7 linked regions of the Callithrix jacchus genome follow. The protein of the gene in region 6 interacts with the protein of the main gene of each other region in a biochemical or structural test. Links are inferred from orthologs where the notes say so. Each region holds a gene or a part of one and is shown on either strand. Other genes may lie near its edges.

Region 1 (4,110 bases), on a different chromosome or scaffold from region 6:
CTGGGAACCTGGGGTGCCAGAGTTTCCCAGAGGGCCTGAGCTCTGCATTCCCTGGTCCTAGGTGGGGTAGGGATACCAGCTTGAATACACCCTGCAGGTGGGGAGCCCAAGGGCCCAGCAACTGGATCCTGGCAGCTCTGGGTCTATGAGTGCCAGGTCTGCGTCCCAAGTGATCTGGGGCCTCCAAGTGGGAATCCTGGGTCTTACATATCCAATTGTCAATCATCTGGGCCCTGAGTGGAGGTCCCTGGTCCCGATGCCTGGGTTCCTGAAGCCTAGGCGTGATTTCCCAAGGAGTTCGGTCTGGAATCAGGGAAGAGAGCCCAGGGCCAGGTGCTCTCACCTAGCCTGGGAGCTCAGTCCTTCCCTGGTGGCGACCCTCACCCTCATAGTTTTCAGCCTCCAGCTGTAGCTTCCACTCCTCCTCACTCTCCTCTTCTTCCTTCTCCAAGTCAGAATCGGGGTACAAGGTGACAGGGGTATGGTTGGTGTCGGGATTGTGGTCTGGGCCATGAGCGAGGTAGGTGTCCGGGGCTTCCCTGGGCCGCCGAGGGCGGGGCTGAAGCAGGGCACGGGCACAGGCAAGTGCCCCCACACGGCAGGCCAGGTGTAGCGCCGTGTGGCCCCCACGCTCTGCCACGCACAGCCCAGCGCCTGCTGCATACAGCTTCTCCACCGTGGATGCCTCCCCCAGGATGGCTGCCAGGTGCAGGGCCGTCTGCAGAAGCAGAGGACAGGCAGTAGGGAGTCACACTGGGAACCCCAGACCCCAACCCCTACTCCATCCCCTCGTGGCTCACCTGGCCTAGGTCATTCTGCAGGTCCATGTACTCAGTGCCGGCTGAGAAGCCTAGAAGAAAATCCAGGAAGGGTTCGTGCTGATGAATCACAGCCAAATGCAGTGCCCTGGGGACAAAGACTGGGGTCAGAGGGCAAAATTCAAGTCCTCTTGCATTCCTTCATTCAACAAACATGGGGTGGCTACTGTATGCTAGGCTTTGGGACCACAGTTCTGGAACCCACTGTCAGCTATCTGGGAGGGTCAGAGAGGTCAGAGTTTCATCAGCAAATTTGTGGAACCAACAATGTTTATTCAGTGGGATTTCCACTTCTGCCCAAAATGAAGTAACATGGACCAGACTTCCCTCCCACAAGAAACAAAGAAAAATCAGACGCAATACGGTATATGAAGCAACAGTGTTGAAGACGCTGGACGTCATGCAATGAATCACAGTGGCCCCCGAAAGACAGGAAACATGAGGTGGGCCCTACACTTGACTGCCACAGCTTATGGTCTTGAGAGCCACGGTTGAGAGAGGGGACCCCAAGCAGAGCCCATCAGGTTGTCTGAGGTCAGGAGATGGACATGGAGGAAGAGTCTGTAGAGACCAGGCTTGCAAGAGTCACAGGACAGAGTTGTTGGCCAGGCGCAGTAGCTCACACTTTGGAGTGAGCTAAGAATCAAAGACCAATTGAAAACTAAAATAAAATTAATGAAACCAAATTAATTAACAAAAATTAATAAACCTAAAGCTGGTTCTTTGGTAAGATCAGTATTTATTAACTGCTTCCTGGGACAGGCACTGCCTGCATCACTGGGCATAGGGCAGTAAACACAACAGACAAAAAAACCCAGTACAGTCCCTCATCTGGGCCTTTGCAATTGCAGTTCCTTCTGCCTGAAATGCTCTTATCTTGTTTATCTATTGCCTCATTTTCCTGCTTTATTTTTCTCCAAAGTACTGACAACCTGTGACTTTCTTTCCTTCTCTTACTTTCTGTGTCTTTCTTTCTGCATGTCTTTGTTTCTTTCTGTCTTTCTGTTTCTTTCCTTCCTTGCTGTCTTATCAATCTGTTTAGCCCCACTAAAATAAAACGTCTCCTTCACAAGGGCTTTAGTTTTTTGTCTGTTTTCTTCACTGCCTTTATCACTAGCACCTAAAACGAAGCCTGGAATGTGGTAATATGTAAAGAATATTTGTTCAACAGATGAATCCTTGGTTTCATGGAGCTTACATTCTTTTTTCTTTTTCTATTTTTCTACTTCAATTAGGAATTCAACATAGGAGAACTTACATTCTCACTCTTTTAAGACTTGAAGAACACTGCTCAGAAAACAAGATCTTAGAGTCAGGGACCAAGTATTAATTTCGGAAATCAGTCTAAGGCTCACATCAGGAACTAAGAATCAAAGATTATATTTGGAGGTTCGAAGTCAGGAGAAGCCACAGTTCTAACAAAAGCCTCAGGACTGGAGTCGGGTTTGGGTATCCGTGGACAGAATGTGGATTCCAGGAGCTGAGAATCATAGTTCAAGAAAGGAAGGTCTGAAATGATTGGGTTAGCATCACAGCTGGATAGAAGATTGGTTTTGTTAAAAGTTAGGACTCAGGGGTTACAGGTCAGGAAGTTCAGCATCGGAAATCAGATTTAGGAGTAGGAGGTTAGGAAGCCTCAGGGATCAGAAACTAATGGGGAATCAGACGCCGGGTCCTAGGGCTCCGTTTGGCAACCTAAGGTTCACTCACGTGTCCCCATCCTCAGTGACGTAGCCGAAGACAAGGGGCGCCCACGACAGCCCCGGGCCCAGCTCTGCGACCAAGCCCGGTCCTCCGGGGGCCGCTGCGTCCGGACCCAGGGAGCCCAGGCCGCTGTCGCACCATTCATCTGCGTCGGCAGCTTTTCCCAAGCACGCGACCCCAGCCATGGCCCCCGCCACCTCAGGGGCCCCCCGCAGTCGCTTGCCTGGAGCTGGGCTTTGCCGGCAGTTCTGGCGCTTCCGCCCTGCGGGAAATTCCCCACCACGCCCCCTAATTCATCCAATGATAATATGCTGAATCGCTCGCGCCCTACCCTGGTACCATATCGTGACCAATCAGAGTATTTGGGAGGACTACGACTCACTAGCCGTTTTTACATTTTCCGGGCGCCCTTTACCAACATGGCTGCTGACGCCGCGCCTTCTGGGACTCGAAGTCCGGCCCTAGCGCGCTTTCTTACCTAAGTCTGGGGCGCTCTGGCTGTCGTACGAAAGCGCGGCTTCTGCCGCAATGGCTACTGGGAGTTGTAGTTCTAAGCCCTATCCCGGCCACTCCCATTTCTGGTGCCGTCACGGGACAGAGCAGTCGGTGACAGGACAGAGCAGTCGGTGACGGGACACAGTGGTTGGTGACGGGACAGAGCGATCGGTGACAGCCACGAGGGCTTCAGCACCGTGCCCATGGCAGAGCCAGACCGTGAGTCGGGGACCCGGGTGGGAGGGTCGGGCCGCGCCGGGGCCTAGCTGAAGGCTGCAGGCCCCGGGGCCCGAGGGCGGCCGCTGCGGGGCGGGAAGTAGGGAGCGCTTCGGATAGTGGGATTCTGAGGGTTGTTGCTAAGCGATCTGTATCGCTAGGCTGGTGGGTTTCTGGGTCGCAGGTTGTTCGGGGTTGGTTTATCACATCCGCTTGCCAAGTTGCCAATAATGGCGTGTTTTTCGTATCTTGGTTGCTGAGGACCCTCGCTGCAAAGAACCTAAGTTGCCGCGGTCCCTGTTGCTAAGGGTACCTAATTGTTAGAGGCAACCGGAGGATGCTGAGGGACCCCTGTTGTCCCCTCCTATGGCTTCCCTTCGTATCCGCGCCTCTCCCAAACCTACCGCCTCCACTGCACCACTGCACCTCCCTCCCAGACCTGCCTCCCAGCCGAAGCGTCCCCTCCCTTCTCCCTTCCTTTCTAAACTTCCCTCTGCCTTGTAAACCTAACCCTCCCGCACACACACTCACACTGCTGCGTCCTTCCTAACTCCTCCTGAGTGTTCCTTCATGCCCTGAATCCCCTAGGCAGGAGGAAGGAGGATCGCTTGAGCCCAGGAGTTTGAGGCTGCAGTGAGCTATGATCGCACCATTGCACTCCAGCCTGGGTGACATGAGCCAGGCCCTTTCTCTAAAAAGTAAAAGACAAAGAAAGTCAGGGCCAGACACAATGGCTCATGCCTGTAATCCCAGTACTTTGGGAGGCCAAGGTGGTTGGATCGATTGAGCCCAGGAGTTCAAGACCAGCCTGGGCAAAAGCCCCTACTTCTCCCTGTCCTCCTAAATCTTCCTCCCCAGCCTCTCTGCCCCTCACTAA
Region 2 (3,500 bases), on a different chromosome or scaffold from region 6:
CTTTCTGCTGACTCACGACCCTGAGGAGCTGGGGAAGCTGCTAGTTCCCTCTCCCCCTCCTTAGATCTCCCTCCCTCTGGCCTGAGTCACTGGGGCGGAGTTGCTGGGAAAAGATTTCCCTTTCCCGGATCTGACTTAACCCCCAGAGTACTGGAATGAAAAAGGAACACGTGACCTGAGAAAGCCTCTCTCCCTCTCTTCCTCCCTCCAGGGAGGTTCATCCCCCACTCGCCAGAGGTCCCTGTAAAGCTTCCTTCAAGGCTGTCTGGGACTGGCGTCCCCCAGTTCTTCATCCTGACTCTGTCTCTGCCTGTTGACTCTGCCTCAAGCGGCCGGGATGGGATCCAAAATGCCAGTGACCTTAGATGCCCCAATGTCTTCTTCGGGGAAAGGAACCACACTTTCAGGATTGGGAAGTTCTTCCCATCACCACCCCAAGCCCTTCCTGTTGCCCTGGATGCCCCAGTCCTATTTCAGGGGAGGTGGCACGGTGTTGGCTGGTGTGGGCTGGGAAAGGTTGCTGTCCTCTGAGAGGGGGCGCACACCTCCGCCCGCCAGGGCTGGGGCTCCGCTGTGTTTGTTCTGTTTGGCTTCACATGTTTGCGGCTGAGGCTTGGGCTTCCGGGCCTGTGCAGCTGCAGCTGCAGCTGCAGCGTCTCCCAGTGGCTGACTCAGGGTGCGACTGGCCTCCTACTCAGAAATGTGGAGCTGGAGAGGCTGGGCAGCTGCGGGTTGCCTGGCCCTTCTTCCCTGGCCTGGGGTTTCTGTGACCTGGTGAGTCTGTTGCTCCCCAGTGTTTAACAGACGTTGAGGACACCCTCTTATCTTTACATAAAGTGACTCTTATAGCAGAGAAAAAAAGTGGAAGCCCAGGGAAAACCAGAAATGAAACTGGCAGAGATCAAAGTCCCAGGCTGGAGCTAAATATTCACTCCTGGCTTTGCTTTCCTGGCTCTGATGCCAGAACAGGGCAAGCCGTTTAGCTGCTGCGGGATTGGCCTGAGGCTGTAAAGCATACCTTCCAGAATGCCATGGCGTGCAGGGGCCTCCGGGACCCCCCAGCACGCCCTCAGCTCTGACCTGACCCTCATCCAAGCTGGGTCACCAGCCTTCGCCAGCAATATTTGCCTGTGACCTGTACACCTTTGCCCACTCCTGTCCCCATCTCAACTCGTCTCCCATCCACCCATCCAGGGCCCACAACCTTTCCCTTTGACTCCCCTCCCCATTTGTCCTTGCCAACCCTGGGTGTTTGTGTAGATTATGAGGTGGAGGGGATGGGCCAGGGAATGTGAGGGCAGGAGGCCAAATAAGGTTTGATACAAACGGGTAAATAAACTTCCTTCTGCTTCTGCCCACTCCCCAGGAGTGGTGCTCACAGGAACACTGCTCGCCCCCACCAGCAGCCGACTTTTCAGAAAGCTTTTCATGGTGTGACATGCTCCCGGGATGTGCACAGATCCTCACTGATTACCCCTGTGAATGTTCACAAAGTGATCCCACTGTGAACCCAGCACCCAGATGGAGAAACACTGCCCCAGTCTTCAGGGCTGCTTGTTGGAAGAAAGGGCCAACAAGCCCTGAAGTAACCTGCCAATTCCCAATCAAAAACACAACCTTCAACATCTGCCCGGTGTCCAGCACTGTTAGAGGCTGTCGGGGATTTCACAGTGAGGATAAAATGCAGTGCTGTAATCCTAGCACTGCGGGAGGCCAAGGTGGGAGGATCACTTGAGCCCAGGATTTTGAGACCAGGATTTTTTGAACGGGTTTAGCTGTTGGAGACTTGTTGAACTGGTAGAAGGAGTTGACACTACTAAAAAAAAAAAAAAAAAAAATTAGCTGGGCATGGTTGTGCACGCCTGTAGTCCCAGCTACTCAGGAGGCTAAGGTGGGAGGACCGCTTGAGCGTGGGTGGTGGAGGCTGCAGTGATTGCATCACTGCACTCCAGCCTGAGCAACAGAACAAGATCCTGTCTCAAAAAAAAAAAAAAAAAAAAAAATACAGCTTAGCTCTGGGGCCTACTAGCTTCGAATTGAGGGAACACAAATGAGCACACAGGACAACTAGAGAAAAATGAAGCTTCAGATTATATGGCCCCAACTGTCTAAGTTTCCAGGAAGAACTCTCAGCTTTGTGAGGGGGTGGCCTGGGGGGAATGTTTCATGGAGGAAGGACTTGAGCTGGGGACGTTTTAGATCCGTTGCCCGTAAGCTTCCCTCCCTCCCTCTCCTGATGGTGTCTCCTCTATCTGATTCTTCCCCAGGTGCTCCTGGTGCTGTTGGTGGGAATATACCCCTCAGGGGTTATTGGACTGGTCCCTCACCTCGGGGACAAGGAGAAGAGAGACAGTGCGTGTCCCCAAGGAAAATATATCCACCCTCAAAATAATTCTGTTTGCTGTACCAAGTGCCACAAAGGTAGGAGAAAGTGGAAACGGTGAACGTCCTCAGGTCTGGGGCGCTGCTGCTTCTGCTTCTCTCAGCTGTTCTTCCCTAACTTTGCTTCCTCTCCTGGGCTGGGATTTTCTCCCTCCCTCCTCTCCTAGAGACTTCAGGGTGGAGCGATGAGAACTACAGCGGGTGGTGCTGGAAGGAACTTGAGAGAGTGAGTTCCCAGCAGGAAGGGTTCTGCTGTTGTCCCTTGCATGGCTCCTTCCCTGAGCTCTCACCCGCAGCCTAACTCTGCTGCCTCGTTCACAGGAACCTACTTGTACAACGACTGTCCAGGCCCAGGGCAGGACACGGACTGCAGGGAGTGCGAGAGCGGCTCTTTCACCGCTTCAGAGAACCACCTCAGACACTGCCTCAGCTGCTCCAAATGCCGAGAGGGTAAGTGTGCACAGGCTGGAGAGTCAGGCGGGTCTTCAGCGGCGTGTGCCTGCGTGAGGGCAGGTGGGTGTGGGCACCCGCCTGCGTGAGGGCAGGTGGGTGTGGGCACGTGTGTCAGTGGGACACTGCATGGGTGTGACTGTGTGTTAAGAGACAGACACACACGTAGCGGCGTGTCAGGAAGGGGCTGCAGGACTCATACCCCATCTCCTCCCGACACCAGAAGTGGGCCAGGTGGAGATCTCTCCCTGCACCGTGGACCGGGACACGGAGTGTGGCTGTGGGAAGAACCAGTACCGGCATTATTTTAATGAAAACTTTTTCCAATGTGTCAACTGCAGCCTCTGCCTCAATGGCACCATACATATCCCTTGTGAGTGCAGCTCTCCCGATCCCAAGCCCTGTCCCCACCCCAGGGGCTGACCCCTTCCCCATGCCGCGGGCACTTCCTTTTCTTCCCCTCCCTAGTCTGTGGGTCTGACAACCAACTCCTCTGGGCCAGCCGCCCCACCCTGTCCCTCATCACTTCCTCTGTCCTGTGGGGTGGGGGTGCAAGGCGCTCCTCCTTAGCTGTGCGGCACTTCTCCCCACAGGCCAGGAGAAACAGAACACCGTGTGCAACTGTCATGCAGGGTTCTTTCTATGTGAAAACAAGTGTGTCTCCTGTA
Region 3 (4,022 bases), on a different chromosome or scaffold from region 6:
TGAGCCCAAACCCCTTTCTACCTGGGTGGCATGAATGAGTCCAACTGCTACCGTCCCCCCGGACAATGGAGCAAGGAGGGGCGGGCAGGACCAGACTGCCTTCAGCCTCCCGCAGGATGCCTGGCAACTAGTTTCTTAGTGGTCCTTACGGTCCAAGCGCGGTTTAAGGTACTAACTAAACTCATTCTTCAGTCTCCTTCTCCAAGTGTTCCTGGAGAATTGCTCAGTTTGCACCCAGAAGTAGGCTCAGGATCCATTCTCTGCAGCAGCACAATGTAGGTCAGAGAGCATGAACAAAATCGCTACTTAGGAACACAATAGTTATTTTGTTATTGCAAAGTATCCACAACCACTACTACAAAGATTAGCACCTAGCTTTACTTAGGGGGAAGAAAATCCTGGTCCTATTTAGCAGTTTCCCCCGTACAGGGAGAGTTCACCCCTCCCCCAGTCAACAGAGCTCTTCTTCCATAGGAACTTATTTGAGAGTTCTCCAAGGATTTAGGTTTTCACTCCAAAGCTTTCACAACTTCTATCTGGCGGGGTGTGCGGGGGTGGGGGTGGGGGTGGGGGTGGGGGTGGGGGTGGGGGTGGGGGTGGGGGTGGGGGTGGGGGTGGAGAAGCTAAGCGTCCCGGTGCTGCAAAGAGCCTGGTATTGGTAGAAACACGTCGGCGGCCTGCAGCCTTCTAATCACAGTGCGTCCTTCCCCTTAGAGAGAAGTCTGCGGAAAGCAAATCCCTACACCCAGCCATCATTTCCACTCTTGCGTTTTCAAAAGATCAAAAAACGGAAAAGACCGGCAGGTTGGCAAACCCCAAAGAAGGACTGCCCATCAGGTCGGCGTCCTTGGGATCTCAGCAGCCGACGACCCCAATTCAAAGCGATCGTGGGAAACCCCAGGGAAAAATGGTTAACTTGCAGAGGGACAGGATTACAGGGTGCAGGCTGCAGGGAAGTACCGGGGGCAGGGGGCCTGGTAGGAAGGACTTTCCAGCCACTCGGCGCTCATCAAAAAGTTCCCTGTCCGTGACCCCAGTGCCTCATCGCAGGGAGTTTCTCCGATGAACCCCAGCTCAGGGTTTAGGCTTCTTTTTCCCCCTAGCAGAGGACGAAGCCAGTTCTCTTTTCTGGTCTGACTGGCTTGGAAATTCCCCGCGCCTGACCCCGCCCCAGAGAAATCCCCAGCCAGCGTTTATAAGGGCGTTGGGGCGGCGCTGCAGAGCCCACAGCAGCCCGCGCCGCCGTACCGTTCGCCAGCGCTCCAGCGAGGAAGCAGCGCGCAGCCCGCGGCCCAGCGCACCCGCAGCAGCACCCACAGCTCGCCCGAGCAATGTTCCAGGCAGCCGAGTGGGCCATGGAGGGCCTCCGCGATGGGCTGAAGAAGGAGCGGCTGCTGGACGACCGCCACGACAGCGGCCTGGACTCTATGAAGGACGAGGAGTACGAGCAGATGGTCAAGGAGCTGCGGGAGATCCGCCTAGAGCCGCAGGAGGCGCAGCACGGCGCCGAGCCCTGGAAGCAGCAGCTCACCGAGGACGGGGACTCGTAAGTGGCGCGGGCCAGGGGTCGTTGGGAGGACCGGACGCGCGCAGGCGGGGCTTGGGGGGTGCTGGGCCTGCAGCCCGAGCCCGGGGACCAGCGCTGCAGCCGGGCCAGCACCGCGGCGCCCCGGGGCTCCTGCACGGCGCCGAACGCTGCAGGGCCGCAGGGCCGCGCGGGACTCCGGCTGGACTAGGAGGGGCAGAGGCTCGGCTCTGGTGGACCGCAGCGTCGCCACACGCCCCCTCCCCCCCATCCGTCCTCTAGGCCGGGGGCGGGGCGGCGGTGGGGACGCGAAGTCCCCGGTTGCATAAGGCGGGGCGGGAGTTTCTGGCCGCTGGCGGGCGCCTTGCAGCCGGGAGGGGAAGTACAGGGCGTTCCGAGCCGGCGGGAGGGCGGGGCGGTCTGGCCGGCGCCCGCCGAGGCCTGAAGGAGGGGGGCGGAAAGTCCCTGGGCGCCTGCCAGGAACACTCAGCTCATAATAACCTCGCGGAAAACACCGCGGCCTCGGCCTCCAGAAACCCCGGCCTTGCGCAATCCCCCGCAGCCCGCGCCTCCCTGGGCCCCACGCGGTGCACTCACCACCCCTGGGGGTTTTTCCCTCTTCCCCACAGGTTCCTGCACTTGGCCATCATCCATGAAGAAAAGGCACTTACCATGGAAGTAATCCGCCAGGTGAAGGGAGACGTGGCCTTCCTCAACTTCCAGAACAACCTGCAGCAGGTGCGCACGTGCCTGGCCCGGGCTTTCTTTGACCCTGGGACAGAGCTGATGTAGCAGAGTCACCCCAGATCCTTTCTGAATTAAGGGCCACTGGGCATTATTCACCCCTGCCGTTTACTTCGCATCAGCCCCCATCCTAGAGAGGGAAGGAAATTCTATGGATTTGGTGAGGTCTTTATGACCCACCTGGAGCCTCTGCTATTTGCCAGCCCTCCCCACCCTCCCACCTGGGAGGAGCAGCACCCAACCAGGAGACATTGGGGATCCGGGGAACTCGGGGTGTGGGTTTGATTCATGGCTTACTCTCTCTGGTTTCTCTTGCACTGGTAGACTCCACTACACTTGGCTGTGATCACCAACCAGCCAGAAATTGCTGAGGCACTTCTGGGAGCTGGCTGTGATCCTGAGCTCCGAGACTTTCGAGGAAATACCCCCCTACACCTTGCCTGTGAGCAGGGCTGCCTGGCCAGCGTGGGAGTCCTGACTCAGGCCTGCACCACCCCACACCTCCACTCCATCCTGAAAGCTACCAACTACAATGGTATGTCTGCCTTCCTGCCCTGCCCCACCCCCTCAGAGGGCAGGTGACATGCAGAAAGGGCACGTGGGCCAACTTAGGGAGTCCAGGAAAGAGCTTAAACTCCCAACCTGTGAAAGATCGAGAAAAGATGTGTGCAATATGCCTATTGGATACATTTTAAAAGTCCCTTCAGAACCCAGACTGGGGTTCTTAAAATTCAGAAGACATGACTGTTTGTCCCATAAAAGAATAGGTGAAAGGTGCTGCTTTAGGAGGGTTGAAACAAATGGTTATGCTTTTTTCCTTTTGTTCTTCCAGGCCACACGTGTCTGCACTTAGCTTCTATCCATGGCTACCTGGGCATCGTGGAGCTTTTGGTATCCTTGGGTGCTGATGTCAATGCTCAGGTGAGTGCTTCCTGCCTCCCATGTTCTGAGTCAAGCTCCTCGTGCTTGTGTTGCAAGCAGAAATTCCAAACGCAGCCATAGGCATCTCAAATTCCTTTTGGTTTCAGGAGCCCTGTAATGGCCGGACTGCCCTTCACCTCGCAGTGGACCTGCAGAATCCTGACTTGGTGTCGCTCCTGCTGAAGTGTGGGGCTGATGTCAACAGAGTTACCTACCAGGGCTACTCCCCTTACCAGCTTACCTGGGGTCGCCCAAGCACCCGGATACAGCAGCAGCTGGGCCAGCTGACACTAGAAAACCTTCAGATGCTGCCAGAGAGTGAGGATGAGGAGAGCTATGACACAGAGTCAGAATTCACGGAGGATGAGGTGAGTCTGAACTGCTTCAGTATTCTGTGAAATTAATGGCGGGGGGGCTTTCCCTTCACCCTCCCAGTCCCCTAGAGCTGCTCTTCATTAGAGGAATGTCCATGTAATGAATCTCTCAAATTTCTGTGTATAACCAGTATCCCAAGAATGTGCCTTTTTTTTTTTTTAATAGCGCACTGTTTTTTTTAAAAGAGAAGCATTAAAGGCAAACTCCCTCAACCTGTAAAGTTCACTATATTTGGGCTACGGAGAATGGAGTCCAAGTGTTATTTCCAGTAGCAGCTTCCCCATCCCAATAGCTTGGCAGAGCTCCAGAAGTTTAACGTTCTTTTTTTCCCTTTGTTTTCAGCTCCCCTATGATGACTGTGTGTTTGCAGGCCAGCGTCTGACATTATGAGCACAAAGGGTCTGAAAGAACGTGGACTTGTATATTTGTACAAAAAGAGAGTTTTATTTTTCTTAAA
Region 4 (3,500 bases), on a different chromosome or scaffold from region 6:
AGGGGAGATTGGTGAGATAATTTTTAAAAAGTGTATCTAAGTATGTGAAAAGTTTTCCACAAATGGGAATGTAGGATCTTCAGGAGATGGGCGGTGTGAGCAAAGAAATGCAGTAAGTGTGGTATCTGTGATAATGGGAGAAGTGCACAGAATTAGAAACAGTTTCAATCTGGAAGGTATACATGAAGGGAAGGAGATGAAAGAAGACCTGGGCAGGCATTACAGAAAGGCTAGCATCACAGTAGGGTTTGGAAGGACTTTATCTGGTAGGGGAGAATGTTTTGAAAAATAGTAAGCAGAGTGTGTTATCAGAACAAATAAAATAATATTTGCATATCAAAATGATTTGGCCTGCTGTGTTTACTTGCTTTCAGTAACTAATCAGATTATTTTTGAGGTTCCTTCTATATAAATCCTATAGTAATTATTATAAATAATTATGACATATAAATAATGTTAAGCGTTTATGTTTTTGTAAGATTTTGTTTGTGTAATTTTTCAGGGGCAGAAGAGTGTAGAAGAAATAGAGAACCTTTAATATGTCCCCTTTGTAGATCTAAGTGGAGATCTCATGATTTCTACAGGTAATAATTTTGAAATAATGATATGTCGGTTTAATTTTTAAAAAATTCTCAAAGTGTGGTTCAAGTCTGTTAATTTTTTTAAAGCAAATTTTGTTATATTTCATTTTAGCCATGAGTTGTCAAGTCCTGTGGATTCCCCTTCTTCCCTCAGAGCTGCACAGCAGCAAACTATACAGCAGCAGCCTTTGGCTGGATCACAGAGAAGGAATCAAGAGAGCAATTTTAACCTTACTCATTATGGAACTCAGCAAATCCCTCCTGCTTACAAAGATTTAGCTGAGCCATGGATTCAGGTAAGTAGTTATTTTTCATTTCTCAAAGAAATATTTGTAGATCAATTAATGTGTTTGTCCCTTTCCCTCAGTTGTTTATAATTTAAGAAGATACTTTTGTTTGCTCTATCATGACCCCTATTCTGTTGGAAATTTTAATGTTATTTTTAGTATTAATACTATGCTGCTTATTGTAGAGCTTCAACTTCAAAACGTCTTTATGGTTCCACTTCACTTATCTAGAAACATCTCTTCCTGAACTAACAGACATACAGGGTTATTCAAGGATAGAAGAATGGAAACCAGAACCCTTCAATTCTAACTTTTCCCAATGTTTAATCCCCATTCCTGCCAAGAATTTGTATATTTATTTGCTACCATTTAAAATCAGTTACTCCTTTCCATATCATAATGTTATAAATAATTGCTGAGCAGATGAATAAGAAAAAAAGTGGTGTTTACCTTGATTTCATCATTTTTATTTGTGAGAACAGTTTCCATTCCTTTACCATCTCTTTTGACTGGTCCTCAGTAAGTAGGGCTTTTTTGTCAGTTGGTTTGTAATGATATTCTTGGTTATGGAATGCTTAGTCTATTATTTTTTAAATGTAGGATCTAAAACCAGACAGGTCTCCAGTAGACAATAGTGAAGTAAAATAATTATTTTCAATAATCTGTTAAATTCCATTGAATACTATTAAATTTATGAACAGATGCATTAACACATTGAGCTTATATATCGTTAGATTTGTTTCCTTTCTCTTTTGTGACCATTACAGTCCTGCATCTTTGGAATTCTCTTAGCATATTAGCAACCCATTTATGAATCTTAATAAAATCTGCAAAAATATTAAACACATATTCTTGTATCTAGTTCACTAATGAAATTTAGTGAACTGTTAATAGGCCCTCACCTGCCCATTCATGACCCATCAAAGAACTCTCAAGTTGATTCTGAGCTATTAGATGCCTTTCTTTCAAGGATATGGTCTAGTTTGTTTCGCTTAAGCTTTAGATTGGACTAGGCTCTATATTCCTAGCTTTTTATTAAGCATATTAGGAAAGACAGATTTAAAACACAGGTAGTGGTACACTACTTAACAGTACCAGAAACTCACTGTATTCTAGTTGGTTCATTCTCCCATAATATCCCTTTATAACAAAACACATGTAAATAAGTATGTCATGATCTGTTTTTCCAAAAATTGCGTTTATTCATTTTTAATATTTAGACATTTTTCACATGATGAATTATCTTATGTATTAAGCTTACTTTTAGCTTTGGCTCATAATGTCAAGACCATTCACCCTTTCTTACTATAGGGATTCTGTGGCTTTTAGGGCATGGTATTGACAACTATAACAGTATATACCATAATTCGAGGTCTACCATTATACTTTGCTTACTCCAACACAAGCATTTTTTTCTTCAGTTGTTTGATTTGTTCACTTCATTCATTACAGTCCTACCTGTTTTGTCTAACTTTTTAAACCTTTTTGTACAGACAAAAACCGATTAAATGCTTTTTGCTTATTACTGTTGTCTGTAAAGGAAATACTCTGTATCTCTTGAAACCTTCTCCTTGTACCTTTCTTGTTTTTTTTTTTTCTTAATCTTGCTCCAGTTTTTCTCTTTAAATACTTTAATATGAATATAAAGTTGAGATTTTCACAGTTTTGGGGGTTTTTGATAAACATGGGGGATGATACAGGCATAGAATGTATGTATAACCATCCAGTGACTTGATGGAATTTTTTATTAATTTTACCTGAACTAATAAGTATTAAAGACTTTGGATAATTACCAGTTAAACTTGAGTATAAAATTCTTCCTTTATGATGTTTAAGTGGCTGGACATATTTGAAATTGTGTAGTATGGTAAATATTTAAGAAATGTCCAGTTTTTATATAGTAATCCAAAATGATGCTTAACTCGAAACTGCATGCATAAACTTTTCTTTACATTGAATTCACTGCGTGTGTTTGATACAGGTGTTTGGAATGGAACTCGTTGGCTGCTTATTTTCTAGAAACTGGAATGTGAGAGAGATGGCCCTCAGGCGTCTTTCCCATGATGTCAGTGGGGCCCTGCTGTTGGCAAATGGGGAGAGCACTGGAAACTCTGGGGGCAGCAGTGGAAGCAGCCCGAGTGGGGGAGCCACCAGTGGGTCTTCCCAGACCAGTATCTCAGGAGATGTGGTGGAGGCGTGCTGCAACGTTCTGTCAATGGTCTGTGCCGACCCTGTCTACAAAGTGTACGTTGCTGCTTTAGTAAGTAGCTTTACTGTATAATCATATCATTATGGGTTTGGGGTTTTTTGATGGTTAGTAGATAGTGTTTTTAAGATACAGTAAAACTACTTTACCTACTTTGGGGAAATCCAGATTTTATTTTTATTCCATAATCCCAGGAAATTACAGTTTTTCTTCTATTCTGTTTATTTGAATGTTGCTGATTTCATTATATTCAGGGTTTCCAGTTTTTCTTTTTTAGTTTTAATGTTTTAAAAACTTTGAAGGGGTATCCGAGGGAGAGAATACAGTCATGGTTTCTTAGTTTCTGTTTCTGGTCGGACCAGTAAACCTCCTTCCTCATCCTTCTTTTCCGCTTATCACTAGAAACAGAAACTAAAAGCCATGACT
Region 5 (3,500 bases), on a different chromosome or scaffold from region 6:
AGGAAAGGCCAGGTCTCCTGGAAAGCCCCGCTGGGGCCTGTAGGCCCTTCACCACCTTCTACCTAGAGGCGGCCCCACCCCCAGTAATAAGCATCATGCTCTTGAGCCTGCTGGGCCAGTCCTGGGGCAGGCAGCCATGGCAGGGTGAGGCCTGATCTGGTCCTTTCTGCTTCTACTCATGATGCCTCATGATGACTAGTAATGGTGGTTTCCCTTGGAGACAGAAACTCCGAGGAGGGCTGGGTAGGGCCAGGAGTCCTCTCAACACCTTCCCTCAACCCAGGAAGCTTCTTGAGTTGGAACCTGGAGAGCTAGACTGCCGTGCAGGCATTTCTCCACACGTGCACATCCTGCCCGCGTCTCCCACTTTCTCCTGGTTGTTTTTTTAGGAGAGATGAGAGAATAAAAACTAAAATGCAGTGAGTGACATATTAATTTTTTTTTGGAGGCGGAGTCTCACTCTGGAGTGCAGTGGCGTGGTCTCGGCTCACTGCAACCTCTGCCTCCCGGGTTCAAGCAATTCTCCTGCCTCAGCCTCCCAAGTAGCTGGGATTACAGGCATGTGCCACCACACTCAGCTAATCTTTTGTAATTTTAGTAGAGACAGGGTTTCACCATGTTAGCCAGGATGGTCTCGATCTCCTGACCTCATGATCTGCATGCCTCAGCCTCCCAAAGTGCTGGGATTACAGGTGTGAGCCATGATGCACAGCCATAATAATTTTTTTAAAAAACATACACATACATAATCCACACTTATATGTACATACAAATATAAATACATAATAGCTGGTATTTATCGAGCCGTTTTCCTATGCGCCAGCCACTGTGTTGAGCATTTTCTGTAGATCATCTTACTTCACTTTAAAGGAAGTGAGTTAGGCTCCCTACGATCCCCATGCTATAGGCATGGCTATTTCAGAGCAGGTGGCTGGGGCCATGGTCTGCTCTTGACCACTAAGCTGGGAAGCAGGGGAAACAGTGCAGGAAGGAGGCATTGGTGGGGAGGGGACTGCCAGACAGGGTTGTCTGCAAAGGAGGGGAAGGAGTGCGCTAGAAGGGATCTCTGAGACAGCACTCCCCTAAGTGCTGAATTCCTGTTCTTTCTCCTCTCTGCTAATGGAACTCCTTTTCCTTTAGGCGAGAATAGCCAAGAGTTCAGCCCCACATTTTCAGAACGCATTTTCATCGCTGGGTCCAAACAGTACAGGTAAGGAAGCGGGAGAGCAGCCTGAGTGGGAAGGCGGGGTCCCAGCGTCCTTGTCCCCAGGGCTTGCCTGGGCCAATCCTGCTGACCCTGGGCTCCCCCCCTCAGCACCTGTGCTTCAGCTCCTGGAACTCGCCCAGGCTTTCCTGGCTGAGCCGCTCTCTCAGCCAAATAAGCTTTTCAAAGGCTTTTCACAGCTTGTGGCTGACTGCCTCTGGGCCACATCAACTTGACATTTTATTTTTGTTCTCCTCAGAGTCCTTAATGCACCCCCTCGTTTCCCATCAACAGGGAGGGTGCTGGGAACTGGAGCTGCTTCCCCCTCCTGCGTGGCTGTCAGTGCAGGGCAGGGGGCCCTTCCACTGTCCTCTATGGGAGAAACCTGCTGGCACCTCTTCTCCTGGGAAATACACCGAGTAGGGATGCGGGTGGTGGAAAAGGAGGGGGCAGACCGACTTGGTGGCCTCATGGAAAGGAAGCCAGGGTGGCCTCATGGAAAGGAAGTCTTCCCAGGCTCCGCATTCCCCCACAGACGATTTTTTGGAGCACGAGTTTGAGTTAGAAACAGTTCCCTCCCCATCACCAGGCGGGTTTTTGTATCATTGGAGTTTGGAACCTGGTAGTGATAAGACTGTGGGGAGGGCAGCTGCCTTGGAACAAGGAATGCTCAGCGTTTGGTGGGATTCCTTCCGCTGTCCTGGGTGCCTTTTGGCCCAGGGTAGGAGCCTCTGAAAGACACACTTCTTTCAGCTGTCTGAGAGAAGCCTGTAGGCCTCCACTGGTCCCTGGCACTGCTGTGAGTCTGCCTCTGTGGGGGCAGAAGATGAGGCCAAGGGAGGTGGCTGAAGCCATGGTCTGCTCCACAGCTGTTCTGTAGCAATCCTTCTGTTGCCAGGCCCTTTAATACCTGGCAGGGATCCCAGTCCAGTTAGAGCCATGGTAGTGATGAGCCCCAAGGCCAGCAGAGAAGAGTAGCCTCCCCGGTACCAGGCAGCAGCCCAGGCTGTCACCTCCCACAGCAGCCAGGGACCCCCAGGAACTAAGAGAATGGAGGTGACCAGCCTCACCTGTTCCTCCGTCCGGAGGCAACAGAAACAAGCTGTCTCAGTCCAAGCTGAGAGTGCCTGCCATGAGCGTGGCCCCCTTTTGGGAACTCCCCAGGGGCAGCTCACCTTGGAGAGCAGTGAGCAAGCCATATCTGCTCCTCTACTCTCCCCAAGAAGTGCGGAGCCTGCGCCCCATCACCATGGTAACTAGCACGGCTTCTTGGCAGCTTGCTTTGGGGGCAGACACTGAGCTAGGCTTTTTAAGTGAATTAAATTATTGAAGCCTCATCTCCACCCTGCATGGCAGAAAATACCAAACCCATTTTATAAGTGAGGTAAGTGAGAAAACTGAGGCTCCTTGGGGTTTAGAAACTTTGCCACGTTCACACAAGGAATGGCAAGCTGGGATTTGGCCTTGGGTCTTCAGGAGCCCAGACACAGCTATCTGTACCATTCTGTCTTCCTGCTTCCTCGTGCTCAACATGCAGATCTGTCCCTTTTTTGACAGCCAGTCTGAGAGTCTTGATCAGATCCCCAACAATGTGGCCCATGCTACAGAGGGCAAAACGGCCCATGTGTGTTGGAAGGGAAAGCGTCGCAGCAAAGCCCGGAAGAAACGGAAGAAGAAGAGCTCAAAGTCCCTGGCTCATGCAGGAGTGGCCTTGGCCAAACCCCTCCCCAGGACCCCTGAGCAGGAGAGCTGCACTGTCCCAGTGCAGGTGAGACCCTCCGCCGACTGCCCAGACCCTGGGCTCATGCAGCCTCAGAAATGGAGCTGTGCCTTGGGCCTGGCCCTGTGTGCTGACAGCTGTGTTTCCCCTGCAGGAGGATGAGTCTCCACTCGGTACCCCATATGTTAGAAACACCCCACAGTTCACCAAGCCTCTGAAGGAACCAGGCCTTGGCCAACTCTGTTTCAAGCAGCTTGGCGAGGGCCTACGGCCAGCTCTGCCTCGATCGGAACTCTACAAACTGATCAGCCCCCTGCAGTGTCTGAACCACGTGTGGAAACTGCACCACCCCCAGGACAGAGGCCCCGTGCCCCCAACCACACACCCCTTCCCCTATAGCAGACCACCCCATCCCTTCCCATTCCACCCTCTCCAGCCCTGGAAACCTCACACCCTAGAGTCCTTCCTGGGCAAACTGGCCTGTGTAGACAGCCAGCAACCCTTGCCTGGCCCACACCTGAGCAAACCGGCCTGTGTAGACAGCCAGAAGCCCCTGCCTGGCCCATACCTGAGCAA
Region 6 (3,500 bases):
GTGGGAAGGGCTGGCAAGCAGCTCCAGGAGGCATGAGCTGCAGTTTCTGTGTGCAGGGGGAGCTCCAGCTTTTCTTAGAAAAGAGGGAACAATAAGAAAGTTCATAAGGAGCTGTCCAGTTGAAGAGTGAGGATGTTCCAGGACAGAGATGTTGCTTTATCAAAGGCAGAGAGCCTGGGGAATCCGTGTGTTCTAAGTGGGGACAGGCTGGTGTGTGGGGGGAGGCTGCGATGGAGAATGAAGCTGCTGAAGAAGACAAGGGCAAGCTTATGAGGGCCATGCTTTGTTTTGTCATGCAGACTGGAGTGCAGTGGCACGATCTCAGCTCCCTGCAACCTCCGCCTCCTGTGTTCAAGTGGTTCTCCTGCCTTAGCTTCCCAAGTAGCTGGGATTACAGGTGCCCACCAACACACCCAGCTAATTTTTGTATAACGTTTTCTTCCTTTTTTGAGACAAAGTCTTGCTCCATCTCCCAGGTGGAATGCAGCTGCACAATCTCAGTTCACTGCAACCTCCACCTCCTGGGTTCAAGTGATTCTCCTGTCTCGGCCTCCCAAATAGCTAGGACTATAGGCTCATGCCACCACACCCAGCTAATTTTTGTATTTTTAGTGGAGATGGGGTTTTACCATGTTGGCCAGGATGGTCTCAAACTCCTGCCCTCAAGAAGTCTGCCTGCCCTGGCCTCCCAAATTGCTGGGATTATAGGCATGAGCCACAGCGCCCAGCCCATGTTTGTTTTCAAAGCACACAGGACATGGCAGGATCTGTCTTTTCCTTTGATATTAAAGGAACTCGAGTGTGGGGATGTGATCACATCTGGGATTTGGGGAAGTCCCTCTCCAGGCAGCTGGAGAATCTGAGCCCCTGGCCAACCTCAACACTGAGAAGGGCTGCTCTCAGGGTTGGAGTTGAGCCGTCCCTGTGCAGCACAGGACAGGATGGGGCAGGAGCTGGGGCAGGTCCTGGCCAGGAGGGAGCCAGGCAGCGCAGGCACCATTTCCTGCTGCATTTGTGGTCCAGGGCAAAAGCACAGGAGACCAATGCTGGGCCTTTCCCCAGGCACAGTCAGCAGGAGGACGGCTTGGGCACTTGCATGGCTCCTTGATGTGTGGGCCTTGAGGTTTTGCTGGAGGGGAGGATGTGGAGCCAGGAGAGTTCCATGGCCTGAGGGAAACGTGAGAGGATGAAGGACTGCAGGCCACAGTGAGTGCCAGGGGCGGGGGAGGGAGGTCACATGGGTGGGGTGAGGACCATGCGGGGCAGAGATCAGCAGATGGGTGACCTGAAGGTTGGCGGGTGGTCATGGGCTATGAGCTGAGGAGGCTCAGGTAGCTGGAGCGGGAGCCGCTGCTTGATCCTTCAAGCTGGGAGGGGCAGTGGCTACAGCCCCCTGGGAGTCAGGGTGTCCTGGCTTCTTCTCAGCCAGATCATATAGGATGAGAGCCACAGGAACTCCCATAGCCTTTTTGTGTGTGTCTGTCTTCTACCTGGAAAAGAGTAAAAATACTTCCCCGTTCTTTTCTTGTAAAAGTTCATTAAGGGGTTGGGCACCATGGATCACGAATCCCAGAACTTTGGGAGGCTGAGGCTAGTGGGTCACCTGAGGTCAGGAGTTTGAGACCAACCTGGCAAATATGGTGAAAAACCATCTCTACTGAAAATACGAAAGAGGCTGAGGCAGGAGAATTGCTTGAACTCAGGAGGCGGGGGTCGCAGTGAGCCAAGATCATGCCACTGCACTCCAGCCTGGGTGACAGAGTGAGACTCTCAATAAATAAATAAATAAAGGAATAAAGCTGATTTTTTTAAAAAAGAAAAAACCCTGTAAATAAATGTAGGCACTCCGGTCTCCTAAATTTAGAATCCTTTCTTCAAACATCCCCCTTTTGATACAGAAACATTTTTGAAGCCAGATGCAAAGCACCAGCCGACCCTCGGGTAGGGGAGCTGACTGGTGGGCTCTAGGGATAGCTCTGGCGTCTGGCAGCCAGTTGTCTCCTGAGAAAATACTGTGGCGTGAATGCAAAGTGTGATTCATTACTTGGCTCCTAATTTCTTTTGATTTTGTCCCCTAGAGCAAGGTCCGTGGTCCCGTCAGTGGAAGCCCTGATAGCATGAATGCCTCTCGACTTAGCCAGCCTGGGCAGCTGATGTCTCAGCCTTCCACGACCTCTGACAGCTTACCCGAGACAGCCAAGAAGAGGTAGGTCCTCCTTAGGAGTGCTAAGCATGACCATCAGGGGCACGTCAGGAGATTGGGGGTGGAAGCATTCATCACTGGTGAATGTCTGTCCGATGATTTTACCACTTCTCTGGGTGTTTGTTGCATCTGCTAGGTCCTGTGGGGACAAAAGTGATACAAGTTTTGCTCACACTTGTAATCCCAGCACTTTGGGAGGCTGAGGCAGGAGGTTCACAGGAGTTCGAGGCAAGCCTGGGCAATGTAGTGAGACCCTGTCTCTCTATTTTTTTTTTTTGAGACGGAGTCTCGCTCTGTCACCCAGGCTAGAGTGCAGTGCAATTTTGGTCACTGCAACCTTCGCCTCCTGGGTTTAAGCAATTCTCCTGCCTCAGCCTCCTGAGTAGCTGGGACTACAGGTTTGTGCCACCACACCCGGCTGATTTTTTTGTTTTTTGTTTTGGTTGTTTTTTGAGACAGTCTTGCTCTGTCGCGAGGTTGGAGTGCAGTGGCACAGTCTCGGATCACTGCAACCTCTGCCTCCTGGGTTCAAGCGATTCTTCTACCTCAGCCTCCTCAGTAGCTGGGACCACAGAGGCATGCCACCACGCCTGGCTAATATTTGTATTTTTTTAGTAGAGATGGGGTTTCACCATGTTGGCCAGGATGGTCTCAATCTCTTGACCCTGTGATCCTCTGCCTCCCAAAGTGCTGGGATTACAGGCATGAGCCAGTGCGCCCAGCAGATTTTTTTGTATTTTTAGTAGAGACAGGGTTTCACCATGTTAGCCAGAATGGTCTTGATCTCCTGACCTCGTGATCCACCCGCCTCAGACTCCCAAAGTGCTGGGATTACAGGCGTGAGCCACTGCGCCCAGCCTTTTTTTTTTTAAATAAAAATTATTTCCCCAACATCTTATGAGCTCCTGGAGGATAGCAGCTAGGCCAGGAGCCTCTTCTATTGCCCTCTGGGCCGGCACTGAGCCTTTAGCCTAGCTAGAGGCCCCGAGGCTTGGCAAAAATGGCTCCTGCCATCAGATTGTCGCATTTTGCAGAGTGAGAGGAGTTCTGGGGCACTGTCTTCCCTTATGTGGCTTATTCCCTTCAGTGATATCCTCAAAACTCTAGAAAGGTGGACCTAGGTATACAGGATGTCTCTCATCTCCCCACAGCGTAGCTGAGATTAGAAAAAGATGGATGTTTTATTACATGCTGTTCTTTCTCACTGTGGCCTAGTCCTAAGAGGAAACATGCATTTTTTTTATTATAGAAAAGAGGAGAGATAGATTAAAGGAAATCAAATCCCAGAACTTGCTTT
Region 7 (3,990 bases), on a different chromosome or scaffold from region 6:
GGAAAGTGTGGTACACATACACAATGGAGTACTGATTAGCCATAAAAAGGAGAACCTTTCATTTGCTACAACATGGATGAAAAATAGGGGTCATTATGTTAAATAAAATAAACCAAACACAGGCAAACAACCAATTGTACATTCTCACTAATAAGTGGAGCTAAAAATTAGAACAATTGAACTCATGAAGATAGCAGAATGATGGTTACCAAAAGCTGGGAAGGGTAGCCAGGAGTGTGTAGGGGGGTGATTAATGGGTTCAAAATACATGAGATAGAATGAATAAGATCTAGTATTTTATAGCATAACAGGGTGACTACAGACAATTTATCATACATTTTAAAATAATTAAAAAACATATAATTGGATTGTTTGTAACACAAAGAAGTGATAAATTCTTGAGGTGATGGATACCCCCACTTACCCTGATGTGATTATTACAGACCGTATGCTATACCTGTGCATCAAAATATCTCATGTAGCCCATAAATACATACATCTACCACAGACACAGAAAATTTAAAATTTAAAACAAAATTACTTGGGTAAATTTTATATTCTGTGTATTTAACGATTAAAAATTAATATAACCTGAGAATGTCCCTAGCTCGGTGATAAGAACATAGTTGGTTATCAGATGTCAATTCCCTTCTCACCACTCACTGGTGGGATACTTACCTCGGGGTCATGCGAAATAAATCACTCACCTGCAGATGTTAAAAAAATAATAGTCACATCAGTCACATGAAAAGAATTAGCTTCTGGAAGTAAGAAACAGATGACGGCACGTGAGGGAGAGCACCAGCCACTATTCTCTGCATCCAACCCTCCTTAAAAGCAGCTTCCAGACATGGGCAAAGCATCTAGGTGTGGGGTGATAACCAGTGTCAAAGAAAGCAGCCCGGACTCCCCCATCTTGCAGATATTTTACTAAATCAGATAATGAAGACATGGGAGGGGGTGCGCACCCAGGACCACAGGCTACTGGGCTTCCATTACTTCCCAGTCTCATAGAAGCCCCCTGGCTGTCCAGAGCCTCTGAAGCCCCCCGCCAGCCCAACTCTGACTTCTCTCCTCCCACCTCTCTTCCTTCTCAGCGGCATTTCTCCACACACCCTTTCAAGGCTCCGCTCCTCCCACGGCTCCTCCCTCTCTCCTCTCACGGCTCCTCCTCCCTCCCCTTTCCCGTCAGACTTGCCTCTGAGCGGAAACTGAAAGTGAAATAGGGAGCTGGCTACCCGCGTTGAGTCCCCTGTAAAGGTGAGTGAACCTCACTAAATCAAGGAACCCCTGCCCTCCTAGTGGACCTCTCCCCTGCCCCAGGGCTGCAGAGCCCCTTCCAACCAGTCTCCATCCTTGAGCCGGTCCCATTTGCCCCTTCTCCCACCGGGGATCCCTCAATCCAAGCCCCTCTGTGCTTCCGAGGCTGGTCTCCTAACCTGGAAGGAGGCTGGGGTATGGACATGACTGCTGCGGAGTTACCCAGAAGGGGTAGGGTTCCGGGCACTTGGGAGGAGACTGGGGTGTGGGACGTGACTGCGGAGTTACCCAGAAGGGGAAGGGTTCCGGCTGCCCCCTACTTGGGAGGAGGCTGGGGTGTGGACGTGACTATGGAGTTACCCAGAAAGAGAAGGGGCCTGGCTGCCCCATTGCTGGCACCTGAGCTGGGATGAGAGCTGGGTGCAGCTGAGAGAGCCAGCACTACTGCCTAGCCAGGAGCGTGGGGGAGATCTGCAATCCTGGAGACTCCCAGGTCCAAAAGTCCTCCAGAGGTGAGGGGCAGGCTGCTTAGGATGTTCAACCAGAAATGTATAGGCCTTCAAAATTACTCTTTGTCATAGAAGAAGTGATGTCAGGAACTAAACTAAGTTTGGAGCAGCTGAAAGAAGAGCCCAGGGAGTGCTGGCCACAGTTCCTGTTGCTCTGTGTGAATACATTCACATATACATGCTCATGTACATACATATACACCTGACTTTTGCCAATATTGGAATGATTAATGAAGATGTATTCAAAGCATGTGTAGTATCTCTGGCACATGGAAGGTACATGGTTAAAAGTAGCTATTTTATGACTAGTTTCTCAGCAACATGGAGGCCTGCTGGTACCAGAAAGAAGATGAATGGGCACTGAGGGTTTAAGCAGGAATGGACATGAGAGAACTGTCAGCTTTATGAGGTTCTTGCCAATTTTCACTCCCTCCTTTAGGGACTCAGTTTCTCCTTCTGTCCCAGTGGATCAATGGGCCAAACAGTGGAGGAGTTCTTGTTATTCAGAAGAATAAACTTATTAAACAAACTATTTGGTCCATGCAAAAGTAATACTGTTTTTGCCATTAATTATTTTTCCATTAATATTATGCCCTTTTTTTTTTTTTTTTGGAGATGGAGTCTCCCTCTGTTGCCTGTGCTGGAGTGCAGTGGCACCAACTCAGCTCACTGCAACCTCCACCTCCCAGGTTCAAGCAATTCTCCTGCCTCAGCCTCCTGAGTAGCTGGGATTACAGGCACCCACTACCACTCCCAACTATTTTTTGTATTTTTAGTAGAGACAGAGTTTCACCATGTTGGTCAGGCTGGTCTCAAACTCCTGACCTCAGGTGATCCACCCACCTCGACCTCCCAGAGTGCTGGGATTACAGGCGTGAGCCACCATTTTTATTTTTTTATTTTCCGTTTCATCATTTTGTTTTTCTTTTTTTAGTTTTAATTTTTCTGGGCATGTAGTAGGTATATTTATGGGCTACATGGAACATTTTGATACAGGTATACAGAGCCACCATTTTTATTTTTTTATTTTCCTTTGCATCATTTTGTTTTTCTTTCTCTAGTTTTAATTTTTCTGGGCACATAGTAGGTATATTTATAGGCTACATGGAATATTTTGATATAAGTATACAATGTGTAATAACCACATCAGGATAAATGGGGCATCTAGCACCTTAAGCATTGATCATCTGTGATAAACTATGCAATTATACTCTTTCAAATGTACAATTAAATTATTGACTATCGCCACCTGTTATGCTATCAAATACTAGATCTAATTCACTCCATTTTTGTACCCATTAACCATCCTACTTTTCCCCCAACACATCCTCCCTACTATTCTTCCCAGCCTCTGGTAACCATCTTTCTATTATCTAACTCCATGAGTTCAATTGTTTTGATTTTTAGCGCCTACAAATGAGAACATACAATGTTTGTCTTTCTGTGCCTGGCTTATTCCACTTAATGTAGTGACCTCCAGTTCCATTCATGTTGTTGTAAATGACAGGATCTCATATTTTATGGCTGAATAGTACTCCATTTTGTATATGTACCACATTTTATTTATCTATGTATCTGTTGATGGACACTTAGGTTGCCACCAAATCTTGGCTATTGTGAAACATACTGCAATAAACATGAGTGTGCAGATATCACTTTGATACAGTGATTTCCTTTCTTAGGGGTATATACCTAGCAGTGGGATTGCTGGATCATATGGTAACTCTATTTTCAGTTTTTTGAAGAACCTCCAAACTGTTCTCTGTAGTGATCGTACTAATTTACATTTCCACCAACAGCTTATGAGGGTTCCCTTTTCTCCACACCCTCACCAGCATTTGTTATAGCCTGTTGGATAAAAGACATTTTAACTGAGGTGAGATATCTCATTGTAGTTTTGATTTGCATTTTACTGATAATCAGTGATGTTGAGCAACTGTTCATATGCCTGTTTGTCATTTGTATGTCTTTTGAGAAATGTCTATTCAGATCTTTTGTCCATTTTTGAACCAGATTATTACATTTTTTTCCTATAGAGTTGTTTGAGCTCCTTACATATTCTGATTATTAATCCCTTGTCAAATGGATAGTTTGCAAATATTTACTCCCATTCTGTGGGTTGTCTCTTCACTTTGTGGATTATTTTCTTTGCTGTGCAGCAGGTTTTCAATTTGATGTGATCCTATTTGTCCAATTTTGCTTCGGTTGCCTATGCTTGTGG

The links.
Region 1: of the proteins of IKBKB (region 6) and NFKBIB, one has a biochemical effect on the other in vitro, tested with the Homo sapiens proteins (2 studies listed by BioGRID). The link is inferred for Callithrix jacchus from reciprocal best matches to the Homo sapiens genes IKBKB and NFKBIB.
Region 2: of the proteins of IKBKB (region 6) and TNFRSF1A, one has a biochemical effect on the other in vitro, tested with the Homo sapiens proteins (2 studies listed by BioGRID, with this or other methods). The link is inferred for Callithrix jacchus from reciprocal best matches to the Homo sapiens genes IKBKB and TNFRSF1A.
Region 3: of the proteins of IKBKB (region 6) and NFKBIA, one has a biochemical effect on the other in vitro, tested with the Homo sapiens proteins (58 studies listed by BioGRID and IntAct, with this or other methods). The link is inferred for Callithrix jacchus from reciprocal best matches to the Homo sapiens genes IKBKB and NFKBIA.
Region 4: of the proteins of IKBKB (region 6) and MAP3K1, one has a biochemical effect on the other in vitro, tested with the Homo sapiens proteins (3 studies listed by BioGRID and IntAct). The link is inferred for Callithrix jacchus from reciprocal best matches to the Homo sapiens genes IKBKB and MAP3K1.
Region 5: of the proteins of IKBKB (region 6) and MAP3K14, one has a biochemical effect on the other in vitro, tested with the Homo sapiens proteins (3 studies listed by BioGRID and IntAct, with this or other methods). The link is inferred for Callithrix jacchus from reciprocal best matches to the Homo sapiens genes IKBKB and MAP3K14.
Region 7: of the proteins of IKBKB (region 6) and TRIM21, one has a biochemical effect on the other in vitro, tested with the Homo sapiens proteins (2 studies listed by BioGRID). The link is inferred for Callithrix jacchus from reciprocal best matches to the Homo sapiens genes IKBKB and TRIM21.

What each region holds. Positions count from the first base shown.
Region 1 is NC_133523.1:34,461,083-34,465,192, reverse strand, and holds the start of NFKBIB (NF-kappa-B inhibitor beta), read right to left. Parts: upstream 2,801-4,110; 5' UTR 2,708-2,800; coding exon 2,529-2,707; intron 907-2,528; coding exon 801-906; intron 719-800; coding exon 385-718; intron 1-384. Other genes in the region: SIRT2 (NAD-dependent protein deacetylase sirtuin-2), read left to right, coding at 3,221-3,236. UniProt on the Homo sapiens protein: Inhibits NF-kappa-B by complexing with and trapping it in the cytoplasm.
Region 2 is NC_133510.1:19,941,195-19,944,694, reverse strand, and holds part of TNFRSF1A (tumor necrosis factor receptor superfamily member 1A), read left to right. Parts: intron 1-2,267; coding exon 2,268-2,421; intron 2,422-2,703; coding exon 2,704-2,832; intron 2,833-3,055; coding exon 3,056-3,205; intron 3,206-3,425; coding exon 3,426-3,500.
Region 3 is NC_133509.1:69,916,368-69,920,389, reverse strand, and holds the start of NFKBIA (NF-kappa-B inhibitor alpha), read left to right. Parts: upstream 1-1,222; 5' UTR 1,223-1,331; coding exon 1,332-1,546; intron 1,547-2,154; coding exon 2,155-2,263; intron 2,264-2,593; coding exon 2,594-2,804; intron 2,805-3,101; coding exon 3,102-3,190; intron 3,191-3,297; coding exon 3,298-3,558; intron 3,559-3,907; coding exon 3,908-3,955; 3' UTR 3,956-4,022. UniProt on the Homo sapiens protein: Inhibits the activity of dimeric NF-kappa-B/REL complexes by trapping REL (RELA/p65 and NFKB1/p50) dimers in the cytoplasm by masking their nuclear localization signals.
Region 4 is NC_133503.1:153,003,104-153,006,603, reverse strand, and holds part of MAP3K1 (mitogen-activated protein kinase kinase kinase 1), read left to right. Parts: intron 1-502; coding exon 503-584; intron 585-693; coding exon 694-877; intron 878-2,849; coding exon 2,850-3,128; intron 3,129-3,500. UniProt on the Homo sapiens protein: Component of a protein kinase signal transduction cascade. Activates the ERK and JNK kinase pathways by phosphorylation of MAP2K1 and MAP2K4. May phosphorylate the MAPK8/JNK1 kinase.
Region 5 is NC_133506.1:85,675,890-85,679,389, reverse strand, and holds part of MAP3K14 (mitogen-activated protein kinase kinase kinase 14), read left to right. Parts: intron 1-1,140; coding exon 1,141-1,210; intron 1,211-2,761; coding exon 2,762-2,972; intron 2,973-3,078; coding exon 3,079-3,500.
Region 6 is NC_133514.1:44,086,796-44,090,295, reverse strand, and holds part of IKBKB (inhibitor of nuclear factor kappa-B kinase subunit beta), read left to right. Parts: intron 1-1,062; exon of another isoform or gene 1,063-1,206; intron 1,207-2,078; coding exon 2,079-2,206; intron 2,207-3,500.
Region 7 is NC_133511.1:69,716,676-69,720,665, reverse strand, and holds the start of TRIM21 (E3 ubiquitin-protein ligase TRIM21), read left to right. Parts: upstream 1-1,190; 5' UTR 1,191-1,260; intron 1,261-3,568; 5' UTR 3,569-3,645; intron 3,646-3,990. UniProt on the Homo sapiens protein: E3 ubiquitin-protein ligase whose activity is dependent on E2 enzymes, UBE2D1, UBE2D2, UBE2E1 and UBE2E2.